Regions from separate parts of the Mus musculus genome. Here all the other regions are reported to be linked to region 3. The links are microRNA targets in miRTarBase. Many come from high-throughput screens and were not tested one by one. Region 3 holds a microRNA gene; each other region holds the end of a gene's coding sequence.

Region 1 (4,129 bases), not on the chromosome of region 3:
GTGTGTGTGTGTGTGTGTGTGTGTGTGTTTATGTCTATGTGTCTGTGTATACACAAACGTTTAAACGCATGTGCACCTGTGCAGCTCCATACGTATGGATGGAGGTCAAAGAACAACTTTTGGTTCTTGCTTTTGACCTTACTTTTTTTTTTTTTTTTTTTTTTGAGGTGGAGTTCAAGACAGGGTTTCTCTGTGAAACAGCCTTGGATGTTGTTGAACTCAACTTTACAAATCAGACTGACCTCAAACTCACAGAGATCTGCCTGCCTCTGCTTTCTGAGTGCTGGGATTAAAGGTGTGTGACACCATGCCCAGTTGAGATTGTATTTTCTTATCTTACATGATAAGGGTTTGCCTGCATGTATACCTCTGTGCACCATGTGTGTGCAATACCCGTGGAGGCTACGAGAGGGCGTCAGATCCTCTGGGACTAGAATTATAGTCTTGTGAGGGCTAGGCATTAAACCTAGGGTCTCCAGAAGATTAGCCAGTGCTCTTAACCAGATGGCTCTGAGCCATCTCTCCAACCCTGTTTCTTCCTGTTTCTTGAGGGACAGCTGTTCCATGGGTTTCAGGGCAATTCTCCTGTCTCCATCTCCTGTATTACTGTAAGAGCACTGGCATTCCAGTTGCTCTTCCTGTGTCTGACCTTTTGTACAAGTTCCAGACATTGAGCATAGGTCATCAGGCTTGAATAGCAAGAGCTTTTTATCCCCCTGAACCATGTCCCTTATTTCAGACAGACAGGCTGACACTTTGGCCAGTTAGGGGACCTGGGTAAAGATGAAGCTATAATCTATTCACAGAAATATTTTTGAGAAATATTGTTCTTGGGGCCTGGAGAGAGGGTTCAGTGGGTAAAAAGCTTGCCTTGAAAGCATGAGGAAAAGGGCAGGGGGTGCACACTCGGAACTTCAGCACGGGGGAGGCAGAAGTTAAAGGATCTTTGGGGGTTGCTGACCAGCCAGCATAGCCTAATAAGAAAAGTTCTAGATCAGTGAGTGAGAGACATATAGAGAGCAGGTAGACGGCTCCTGAGGATAACACCCAAGGTTGTCCTCTAGCTTATCTACACGAGTGCGCACGCACACACACACACACACACACACACACACATGTATACACATGCACACAGTCACACACACATGCACACTCACACATGCACATACATGTACATACATGGGTACACACACATACACACACACACTCATACACACATGTATATATATATGCATACACAGTCACACACACATACACACACACACTCATACACACATGTATATGTATATGCATACACAGTCACACACACATGCACACTCACACATGCACATACATGTACATACATGGGCGCACACACATACACATTTCACCCTTTTTTAAAAATAGCAAAGCAAGCTGGTCAGTGTGGCGCACATCTTTAATATCAGCACTGGGGAGGTAGAGGCAGGTGAATACGAGTTTGAGGCCAGCCTGGTCTACATATCAAGTCTCAGAATAGGCAGGGCCACAGAGAGAAACTCTTGTCTCAAAAAAAACCAAAAACCAAAAAACAAACAAACAAAAAAAACCCCAAGAAAACAAAAAAACAAAACAAAAAAAACCCAAAACAACAACAAAAGCAAAAAACCAACAAAAAATGGTCCATTTAATCTTTGATTTTAGACCATGGGTAGAGAAGGAGGAGAGAAGGCCACTGCTCACCCCGAACTCTCCAGCAGGGCTCCCAGCAGGAAAGATGGAGGAGACATCCTCTTCCCTGCCTTTGTAAGTTCTGTCTGGCACCATGTCCTTCAGTACTCAATCTGGGTGGCCGGTGCTGTGCCAGCACAGATAGTCCTCAGAAAAGGTGACCTCTCTGGCAGGACTGGAAGCCAGTCCTGCCCTGCTATCCATATTCCCTTTCTTGCAGAGTAGCTGGCTCTGGGCGCTATTGCTTGGTCTCTTCTGCCTCTCTTCTTTGTCAGCTGTGAGGCAGGAAGGGGAGACTATTCCCCATGCGTTGGCTAAGTTGCTGCCATGTCATCTGGTGTTGCTGGGTTGACATGCAACTTTGAGTACTGGAATCTCAGATCTGGCCTGTTCCAGGAGGGCTCCTGCTGTCATTCAGAGTTTGAGCGGTCCCTGACCCCCACCCCACGCCTGCCACACAAGTTTCCTGCCCTTCTCAGTGGCTTTCCGCTCTGGGCAGCACCTCCCAAGGATGCCACCAGACATCATGTTAGCTAGCGCTTACTGATGCAGCCGTTCCCAACACTCCAGCTTGCGGGCCAGCAAGGGAGAGGCAGGCCACCTGCTCTGAGGTGCTGTCTTCCATGTCTGTCTACCCTAGTCCCCACATGTATCTGGTCCATCCCAGCGTACAAAACTGAACAGTTTGTCCTTAGAAAGTAAGTGGTGAATGTCTCATCACCAGGGGACATCCAAACAGGCAGTATACTGGAAAGAGCCATGCATTTAGGCGGGTGACTTTTGAAAGAGGAGGCAGAATGTAGCCTTTATTTCCTCCCAGTACATGCCTTGGACGAGCCTCCTGCCCGCATCATGCCTCGGGCTCTTTTTGTTGATGTTGTTGTTTTGTTTTTTTGTTTTGTGGTGACAGGGTTTCTCTGTGTATCCCTGGCTGTCCTGGAACTCACTCTGTAGACCAAGCTGGCCTCGAACTCAGAAATCCGCCTGCATCTGTATCTGCATCTGCTGGGATTAAAGGCGTGTGCTACCACTGCCTGGCTCAGTCAGTGCTCCTAACCACTGAGCCATCTCTCCAGCCCATGCCTCGGGCTCTTATGTGCCCTCCTAGGGTGGCAAGGGAGACCTGAGACTGTGTGGGTGGTACAGACAAAGCTGGCCAGTCATCAGGAGATACCCAAGAGGTTCCCCGCTTGCCCCAGACATTTCCTGGCCCAAGCTCCCCCGGATCCCCCACAGTAGACAGGGGGCGTGTCTCCTCGGTCGGCCACAGACCAGAGGACTTACTCTCTCTCAGCCCAGGTCCTGCTCATCACTCCTCCTATCTCTCCTTTGAGCAGCCTACCCCACACTGGGCTCCTCAGTTTGGAGCCCACAGAGCAGCATCCCCCAGGGCCCCCCAAAAAAAGACAGCCAAAGCAGGCAGGCCTATCTGTCACCATCTTTATTTCCGGTTTCTAGTTTGACAGTCAATGAAAAGTTTGTTCAGTGACAAACCCACCACCCTCCCCCCATTCACTACACATCACCTTGAGTGTAACAGGCCATTCTTCCATATATTATTAACTCTTTGCTAAGCTATTTAATACTTTAAATATAAGAACAAAACAATAAGTTATTTCATGGCTGAGGGCTGGTTGCTGCCGTGGCAGACAGGAGTGTTGCTCTGGCCTCCCCTCCCATCTCCTGCCTGGGGTGAGACCTGGAGGCTACAGTGAGGTAGCAGAGTTATGTATACAGTAATATTGCCAGGGACCCCAGAGCCCACTGCTTCAATGCTGGAGCCCCCAGGGCATAGGCAGCAAACCATGTCCCCACCGGGATACTGACAGACTCATTTAAATAACACACAACCATAATAAATAAGATCAAGAAGAAATGTGCTCAAGCTGCTGCCTGCCTCAGTTGCCCTGTGTGGACCAGGCCACAGGCTGGACTCACGGTCTTGCTGCAGTTTTCTGTAGGGATGGGATGGGGCGGCGGGGGTGGGGGTGGGGTGGGGGTGTTGCCAGGCTGAGACCCTGAGCACTAGGCAGGCAGTGCAGGCTGAGGCCAAAGCTGAGGCATCTCCCTTCCTCCTCAACCCTCCTCCCTGCCTCTCCCCAGCAAAGTCTGATGTGAGAAAGGAAAATGAGTCCACAGCTGAGATGCCCAGGGATGGTCTCTCCTCATTAGAAGGGGCCGTGGCGAAACAGTTGCTTTGTGTAGCTGAGCAGTTTTGTTATAAAGTGGGCTACTTCGATTTTGGTATCGGGGAGGCTGGAGACCTGTGAAACGGCAGAGAAGCCCATCCATTAGAGGGACGCCAAGGTCAAGAACAGTTGGCATTCAGCAGGGGCTTTCCAGGGACAGGCCCTTACGATGCTACCAAAAGTCCCTGCCAGGTGGCTTCTGGCTCTGCCTCTACTTTACAACTGTGAATACTGAGGTTCAGGTGAAGGTT
Region 2 (4,139 bases), not on the chromosome of region 3:
GCTGGAGCCTTGAGAGCCTCAGTGTGGGCTCCTTTTGGTCCTTTGGGAATTGAAGAGCCAGGCACCGCTTGAGGCCCCTCTGCCCGGAAGCAGGTCTGTCTCTCCATATGCTTGAAACTTTGCCGACCAGGTCTCTCAGACCAAGGGGACTGCAGTTGTGATAGGGAAGCTCACAGGAGGTCTATGTAACTGGGTAACTAGCTCTGTTCTGCCTTGGCATGTCATCCTGTCTACCCCCACCCAGCCAAGGCTTTCATCTGCCCTTGTATTCCCTTACAGGCTCCTTTCTATACATAGAAGGCAGTTCAGCCTAAACCCTTGACCTCAAATTCTCCACACTAATCCTCCATTGAGACAGCATTTGACATCGCTCCATAGGCCGTATCAGCTGTGCTCTGCCAGAAAACACTCCAGCACTTACTGTCGTGCTTAGTGAGGCACAGGAGGAATGTGCTGCTGCTGTCAGCCCCCTCTAGCTCTTTTTTTGGGGTGGATTACATTGATAGGTGGCCAGGTCGAGCCAGCAGCTCAGTGCATGTCCCATTGAAGTTCAGGATGCTGGGCTGGGAGGGAGCTGGGCTTCATGGAGCTTGAGGAGGAGGGAGAAAACGGATTTTTCTAAGCTCTCTCATCATGGTCTGTTTTGCTTTCCCAGATGTAAAATGAAGTTAGTGCTTCAGGTGGTCACAGTGGTAGAGGCCATCGTTTGGTTTCTCAGAGACAGACTCCCATTAAGTCCAGGAGCTCTTTCCCTGTGCACACATGTGCACAGTGGCTGAACCTGTCTCAGGGCTTCCCTGCTGCCTTGCTTTTGCTATTTCGGCAGCCTCCACAGAAGTTTCTGGGTCAGGTCTCCGGCACCGCAGGGAGGGTGTGGACCATGGAGACCAACTAACTCAGCACTGAGCCTCAGCAGCTCTGGCTAGAATTCAGCCTCCAGAGTAGTAGTGAGGGGTAGGATGCTGCCCAGCAGGTGGCCGGGCCTGAGCAATGACAGTACCTGAGAGCACTTGCATTGAGCTAGAACTCAGTGGTGGTGACTGTCATTCCCATGTACAGGACTGGATCTTGTGACATTGAGTATGCTTCCACAGATTCTCACTTTAGGGGGAAGTGTGGACTCCTGACCCATGGTCAGCAGTATGCCCCCCCTCCCCCCCATAAGCACACAGGGATTTGGTAAGAGGCGTAGGTCTGTGCTCAGAACTGTTCCAAGTTGAGGCTCTGATGGGGCAGAGCTACTGTGGGCCCTCCAGCCTGCCTTCAGCATGCAGGGCGTCAGGACAGGTGTGGTCGGCCAGCCTGAAAAGCTGGCCAACACTAACTGTGAAAGGAGTGAGTCCCCAAGGCATCCTCACTCCCTTGGCCATGGTTATTGTGGTTGGTGAGTTCCTGTCATTCTAGAATTGTCAATGAGAGATGTGAGTTTAATATTAAGCTTTCTCGGGCTCGTGAGATGGCTCAGTGGGTAAGAGCACCCGACTGCTCTTCCGAAGGTCCCGAGTTCAAATCCCAGCAACCACATGGTGGCTCACAACCATCTGTAACAAGATCTGACGCCCTCTTCTGGAGTGTCTGAAGACAGCTACAGTGTACTTACATATAATAAATAAATAAATAAATCTTTAAAAAAAATATTAAGCTTTCTCTGGGCACCTACTTTATAAGATATATATATAATCTGATCACACAATTGGGTGTGTCACCTCCCCTCACCTCTGTGGCTGGCTGAAGTCCACTGACAGCAGGAAGTACCTACAGACCCTCTTGCCTGAAGGAGGACCCCCCCCCCGCCCCCCGCCACCTGATCTCTGTCCTGCTGCTTTGTCAAGTGTAACAACTCAATGCTTGAAGCAGGACTATGGCACCCTTGGAAATTACCTCAGTTGAATTTTCTCAGTTCACTAACTCCTTCATTTCCATTTTTAATCTCAGTCTTCCTCTTCAGGTAACAAAACGGGCTCTTCCCTCTCTTTACCCAGTTATAGTCCTCATCCATGAATGTTCCCCATCAAACCCAGAAAGCCTGGAGCAAGTGCCTTTCTTCCCAGCACTTGATATATATCGGAAAGGGTGGATCAGAGAGTTTGAAGCCAGCCAGGGCTGCAGAGTGAGACCCTGACACAAAAAGAAGCCTGGCGATCCCTTGGTCTGAGAGACCTGGTCGGCAAAGTTCCAAGCATACGGAGAGACAGACCTGCTTCCGGGCAGAGGGGCCTCAAGCGGTGCCTGGCTCTTCAATTCCCAAAGGACCAAAAGGAGGCCACACTGAGGCTCTCAAGGCTCCAGCTCCTCAGAAGAGGCAGAGCCCCTAATGAGTGAAGCATGCAGACAAGTCTCTGTGGCACAGAGAATGGGTGACAGTCCGGGTGGACCCTGTGCCTAATTCTAGGTCTTGTCTTGGCTCTGGTGATGGCTGGTTAGGAACCCAGCAGGGCAGATTCCTCTTGAGATGATAAGAAGCCACTGAACACTCTGGGGGAGCGCCCATCCCTGATGGTCATGTTCTTCCCCTGAATAAGGATGGATGGAGGCTTGAACTCCCTGTCTGAGGCCAAGGCTGAGACATAAGGGCACACCTGAGCAAGCTGTGGCATGGGGGACACAAAAGCCAATAGGACCACAGTCACACTGACTGCACCATGACCTTAAAGCATTACAAAACAGCATCTTAGCAAGGTGGTAGTGGGCATGCCTTTAATCCCAGCACTCAGGAGACAGAGGTAGGCAGTTCTCTGAGTTCAAGGCCAGCCTGGTCTACAGAGCAAGTTCCAGGACAGCCAGCTACACAGGGAAGCCCTGTCTCAAAAACAAGAACAACCCCTGAACAACAAAGGAACCAAAACCTTTCCAGTATGACAAACCCCAACCCACAGCTCTTCCCTCTGCCCTTGACCCAGTCCAGAGCAGTGCCATGTTGTGAACCTGAAAGGTGACAGATGGTCTCTGCAGAGGCTTTGGTAGCACAGGACTCCACAGCCCAAGGAGCAGAACATGCCAGGCCCTCAAAGCTAACGCACCCAGAGAAAGAAGCATGTCTAAAATGGATTCGCACACTGTCCAAGCCTGCAGCGACTTGTTGATGTCCCCGTAAGTCGTGGGTTCCAAACAGTGAAGGAAGGACGTGGTGTTTGTAGGTCTGCAAATGCTGTGTATGGAGACGATCAGCAGACTGCCTCTGCACTGGGAACTGGCAGCAGATGCAGAGCATGCAGGAGCAGAGACAGGGTGGCAGGTGACAGGCAGCTCAGCGGCTGCCTCCCTGGTCTGTTTGCCATACCTGTCTTAGAACTGGCTGTGAAGGAAGGGGCCCTCACAGGAGCCTGACATGGAACCACAGAACATGTGGCATAGACATTAACGTGGGGAGGTGTCTGCCACATTCTGCTCTTTTCCATGTAGAGGGGCTCTACTCAGAATGCCACTGGGCAGAGACCACTGGCTTGGTTTCCTCAAGCCATAGGAATGTCTCTGGCTGTGACCCAAATAAATACCCAGATGTTCTGTGCAGAACCAGACCAAACACTTTAATAGCAGACGAAAAACTTGATGTAAAATTTGAAAGCGGGGAACAGGCAGTTAGTTAAGCATTGCTGAGCTTTGGTCTCCAGTGTTTCTTCCTGGCTGAGCGTTTTCATGAGAAAGTTCTTTTGACAGTCTGTTGCTGTGGAGGGATGCGCACAGGAGCTCACAGGAACTTGAGGGAATGCTGACATCAGCTCAGCTTCTCCAGCCACCGAAGCCCTGGACAGACCTGCAAGAAGTGCAGAGAGGATCAACACACAAGCCTCGAGTTGGGCCTGGAGCCTTCAGTAGCAGGCAGCTGGAGACACCACCACAGAAATGAGGCAAGTGTCTCCACGCCCTGCTGCCGGGAAGGCCAATCATCTCTTACTCAGCCTCCCGCAGGCCGGCAGCCCTAAACCCAACACCTGCTGCTAACCTGGCTCTTTAGCCTGGCTCTGCAAACAGAAACAGCACATCACACAAGTCCAGCATGGCCGAGACTTCCCCCTCCCTGGGCCATTTGACTGAGTTAAGTGAGGGCAGACCACAGGGCAGACAAGTACTTACGAGTTAGATGATCCAAAGGTGAAGGCTGAAACACAGAAAGGAGGATGTCAGAGCCGAGAGCTGAG
Region 3 (4,139 bases):
GGTCACTTCCTCAAGATGACTTTCCCCACCACTTATGCCCATAAAACACTCACCCCGTCGTCTAGCAGCCTTCTCCTGAAGAGAAACTGTCATCTGTGTAAATTCATCATGCAGGTAGCTCCTCTCATCATAGTCTGAAGGTAGATGAGACACCATGGCACAAACCTGGTTCCATGGTGTTCTCTATGTCCCACTCATGGCTGAATATCTCCAAGCCCTGTGATCATCCCAGATTCTATAGCCCCAGTCTATTGTTCTATGTGCCCCACCTAGAGCTCTCTCTCTCTCTCTCTCTCTCTCTCTCTGTGTGTGTGTGTGTGTGTGTGTGTGTGTGTGTGTGTGTTTCCCTAACCCTAACCTAAACCTTCAATCTTGGTATCTCTCCATCCATCTAATCTCTCTCTCTCTAGGCCTGTTACCTGGTACCCTGGATCTGCTTCCTCATCTACATCTTTACTCCAACCCCATTGGTCTCTGTCCCACCTATCTCTAGATCACTGTCTCTCTATTCTTCCTGAAACTACTCTCTGTATCTATACCTATGTCCCTCACTTTGGGACTCTGTTCCTGTCTTATCTCTATGTACCTTACTCTCTGTGTGTCTCTCATCTCTCTGGATTGATTCCTAGCTCTCTGTCCCTCTCTCCAGGTCTCTAATCTCCCCACTCATCTGTGTTCCCAATCCATATCCTCTCTCTGAGCAATGCTTCTACTTTTCCATCTCTTTCCCTTACTGTCTTTAGACTCTCTCTGAGGCACTGTTTTGTCTGTCTCCACCCCACTCTGGACCTGTTTCCTTCCATTGTTTCCACCTGTCTCTCTTCTCTGTGTCTATGTCATGATCCTGTACTTGGCTTTTCTTCTTGGAGTAGCTCAAGGAATCTCCTTCCCCTCCCCAGGGCCCTGGTTCAGGAAGGAGGGGCTCCTCACTGATTTTCATGTCTTTGAGATCTTCAAAAGCCCCTTCAAGCTCATTTCTGCACAGGTTTATCTTGGTTTCCTCTCTGCCCACAAACAGCTGGCAGACACGGAGGCGTTCCTCATAGGTAGTGAAGCAGAAGAGACAGGCCCACGTGGATGCCCTGAAGATCAGCAGGAACAACAGGACAATGCTCCCTACTAAGGAAATAAGACCCATAACAGAGGGTCTCCGGGTCTGAGGAGAAGATAGTGACCTTTGTGAGGTCATTGTGGGGGAGGGGGAGCCTGTGATCAGAGATTGAGTTTCAAATGATGGTCAAGCATCAGGCTCCAGCTAGAGGAAGGTTGCCAGGGGTCACCTGAAATCCCTAAATTTGTGGCTGGGCCAGGCGCCAGGCTCCCAAGAACCTCACCTGTGACCCTGGACGTCCTCACAGGTTAAAGGGTCTCAGGGACCCAGAGGCCGGCAGTGTAGCTATGGTGGACCAGAAAAACCCTTTTCCCCAGAGGTGGGAACGGGGAAGCGAGACAGAAACAGATACCCTAAGCCCCAGAAGATAGAAAGGAACCAGGAGATGCCTCAAAAAGCTCAGAAACCCAGTGTCACAGAGATACATTCACAGCACTAGAGAAACAGAAGCTTCTAGAACCCTAGAGACATTGGCATAAGAGACAGAGACAGAAAATTCGAAAATCTCAAGATGGCATAGAGACTGCAAAGAAAAGGGATAGGATAGAATGTGAACAGAGAAGACACCCCAGCTCCTATCAAGAACTCTTGGGCAATGGTGTGGACCTGGGGTCCCCGCCGGCCCCTTCCAGTGCAGGGCGCAGCCTGGGGAAAGCTAGGAGGCCGTATAGTGATCTCCTCGGGTGTCTTCCTCAACTATACAACCTCCTACCTCAGCCCGGGGGGCGCGGCAGGTGGGCAGATTGACAGATGGATTGATGGGAGACCAGAAGTAGGGAGGGTGGGGAGGGCCGGGGAGGTCCCAGCCGCGATGGTGAGCCCCCGACACGGACCCACAGACACGAGCTTGTGTGCGGCGAAGGCCCCGCAAGGTCGGTTCTACGGGTGGGTGCCAGGACCCAGGAGTCCGGGCCCCCGGCCCCCTCCTCCCCAAGGAACCCAGGAATTCAGTCCCAGCCCCAAAATCTAAGCCCCAGCCCCCCTCTTTCAAGGCCAGAGATCCAGACCTCAGCCCTCCTCCCTCAGTCCCAAAGCTTCCTCCCTTAGACTAAGGGGTAGTGGTCACAGCCCTCCCTCCCACAGATCCAGGGAAGCAGACCCTGCCGCCTTGCACTCAATTCTCCTCAGTCCAGACCCAGGGACTCAGTCCCTAACCCTCACAGTTCTCCTCCACCCCATAGCCCTCCCCGGCAGACTCAGGGTCCAACCAGGCACATCCCTTAGAGAAGACAATCTGGTTAGAGACCTGACTTCTGCACTGCAGAAAGGATGTATCCCCGTTTGTCTTGGCAATCTGAGCCCCTTCTGTAACCCCTAAAGGTTTCATATCCCAGGCCTGAGTTAAAGGCCTTCTGAGTATCAGAAGTCCTCATGGGTCTCATGGAATAATCCTATCTTTTCCAAAACCATTCTCAACCTTTGGGGTGATAGCTATGGTCAAGGAATAATGACACCAACCAGGACCCTGTCTCCTCAACACCTCCCAACTCAGAAATGAGGTCGCTCCCAGCACACAGGAGCCCCCAGAGGGGAAGCCACTAGACCAAAGTCAGTTGTCGGCAGGTGGGAGGAGCCCTAGGACCTGCACCCACCCTGAGGCTCTGAGCACAGAACTGGTCTTCTGGGGCTCCCAGGTTCCATGTCCGTCTTCTTGTTTCTTTCTCTCCACCCATTTTTTCTTACCTTGCTCTTTTCTTATTCTCCCTTTCTTTCTCTGTTTGTATCATCCCTGATGAGGTTTTCCTCTTCGCCCATATCTGAATGCCTGCTCCTCCCGCTGTCTCTGTTCTAGCTGACCCTCTTTACATTCACCTCTCTTCCTCACCTCCTATCTTCTATATCTACTTCTCAAGTCTCTTCCTCTTTTTCACAATCTTCTTTCATTTCCTTCCCTGGCTTTGTCTCTCTTTTTCTCTGGATTCCTATCTCCCTCTCTTTTTCTCCTCCCTGCTTTTTTATTTAGTCTAGCTTCTACCCTCCTCCCATCTTCCAGTCTCCTCCCGGGGTCTCTCCCTTTCTCTCTCTCTTTTCTCCTTCCCTCTTCTCCATCCCCTCCCCCCATTCTTCTCCCTTTCTCCTTCCCTCTCTCTCTTCTCTCTCTCCCTCCCCCTTGCTGCTCGGAGCCAGGTCTGGAAATGGGGGTGGAGTGGGGATGGAGTGGGGGTGGGTTGAGAAGGGGCCCTGGGCCGGGGTAGCGACCTGCTGAGGAGGGGGAGGAGAGGCGGGAAGAGGGCGGAGAAGCAAAAGAGGAGGCGGGGGACCTGAGACCAGTCTTCGGCCTGAGCTCAAGTCCTCCTTTCCCTCCTTCCCAACCTCCCAGACCCTCAGGCGGGGGCGAGAGTCAGGCCAAGGTGGGGAGGAAGGGGAAGGGAGGAGCCCCCCCACCCCCCCCCAACCAACCTGGCTCAGAGCCCAGGCCTGGGTTCCCAGCATGCCCCGGGGCTGCCTGGGGCCTGAGGGGGGGGGGGCGGTGAGGGAAAGCAGGGAAGGGAGAATCTTTAAGATTCTCCAGCCCTGAACATCTCTCCACACACCCTGCAAGTTTCTCTTCAGAGGGCCAACTGAGGCTCACAGAGAAGGTTCCGAACTGGTTCAAGGTCACTGCCCCAGGCTTGGGTGCATCTCCCTTGGGTTCACAGGCTTGCTTTGAGGAAGGGGTAGGCGCTCGACTTCTCCCTGGGCATGGGTCCCCTCCCCCTCTTTGCAGACCCTAGGGAGCCCCCAAGGGTCAGAGAGCAGACCCAAACAGTCTGGCACCATAGCAACCAACTGGTCCCGCCCCCTTAACCCCTGGAGGGCTGGACTCCAGCTGGGGCTAAAAGGGGTGGGGGAAACCTGGTTCTCAGGAAGGAGCCCCCCACCTATGCCCCAGTCCAGGCAGAGAAGAAGAAAAATGTCTGGGGCCCTGACTCTTGGGTTCTGAAGGAGGAGGGGATTGGGGTTGGCCTATGCTTATGTGCAGGAGGTGATGGCTGGAGAGTGGACTCCTTAGTCAGAGGCAAGAAGGAAATGGGTGACCCAGACACCT

The links. Region 3 holds the annotated microRNA mmu-let-7e-5p (UGAGGUAGGAGGUUGUAUAGUU, at 1,806-1,827, opposite strand). A microRNA usually pairs through its seed, bases 2 to 8, with sites in the 3' UTR of a target mRNA and lowers its output. Matches are read on the target gene's strand: a 7mer-m8 pairs with bases 2 to 8, a 7mer-A1 pairs with bases 2 to 7 and ends in A, and an 8mer does both.
Region 1: the mRNA of Il13 is a reported target of mmu-let-7e-5p. Seed matches in the 3' UTR shown: 8mer at 3,402-3,409.
Region 2: the mRNA of Nup214 is a reported target of mmu-let-7e-5p. Seed matches in the 3' UTR shown: 7mer-m8 at 2,721-2,727.

Annotation. Positions count from the first base shown.
Region 1 is chr11:53,628,208-53,632,336 of GRCm38, forward strand. It overlaps Il13 (interleukin 13), which reads right to left. Exons shown (of 4, transcript NM_008355.3): 4 at 3,116-3,953. The coding sequence ends at 3,858. Among named protein-coding and RNA genes, the nearest start is that of Il13, 4.4 kb to the right of the region's middle.
Region 2 is chr2:32,051,734-32,055,872 of GRCm38, reverse strand. Nup214 (nucleoporin 214) reads right to left here. Exons shown (of 36, transcript NM_172268.2): 35 at 4,075-4,099; 36 at 1,898-3,754. The coding sequence ends at 3,721. It also overlaps a transcript of Fam78a not described here. Among named protein-coding and RNA genes, the nearest start is that of Mir7674, 2.9 kb to the right of the region's middle.
Region 3 is chr17:17,828,054-17,832,192 of GRCm38, reverse strand. It overlaps Mirlet7e (microRNA let7e), which reads right to left and starts at 1,841; the gene lies at 1,749-1,841. Spaca6 (sperm acrosome associated 6) reads right to left here and starts at 1,218. Exons shown (of 9, transcript NM_001162909.1): 1 at 931-1,218; 2 at 54-134. The coding sequence starts at 1,189. Mir99b (microRNA 99b) reads right to left here and starts at 2,005; the gene lies at 1,936-2,005. It overlaps Mir125a (microRNA 125a), which reads right to left and starts at 1,381; the gene lies at 1,314-1,381.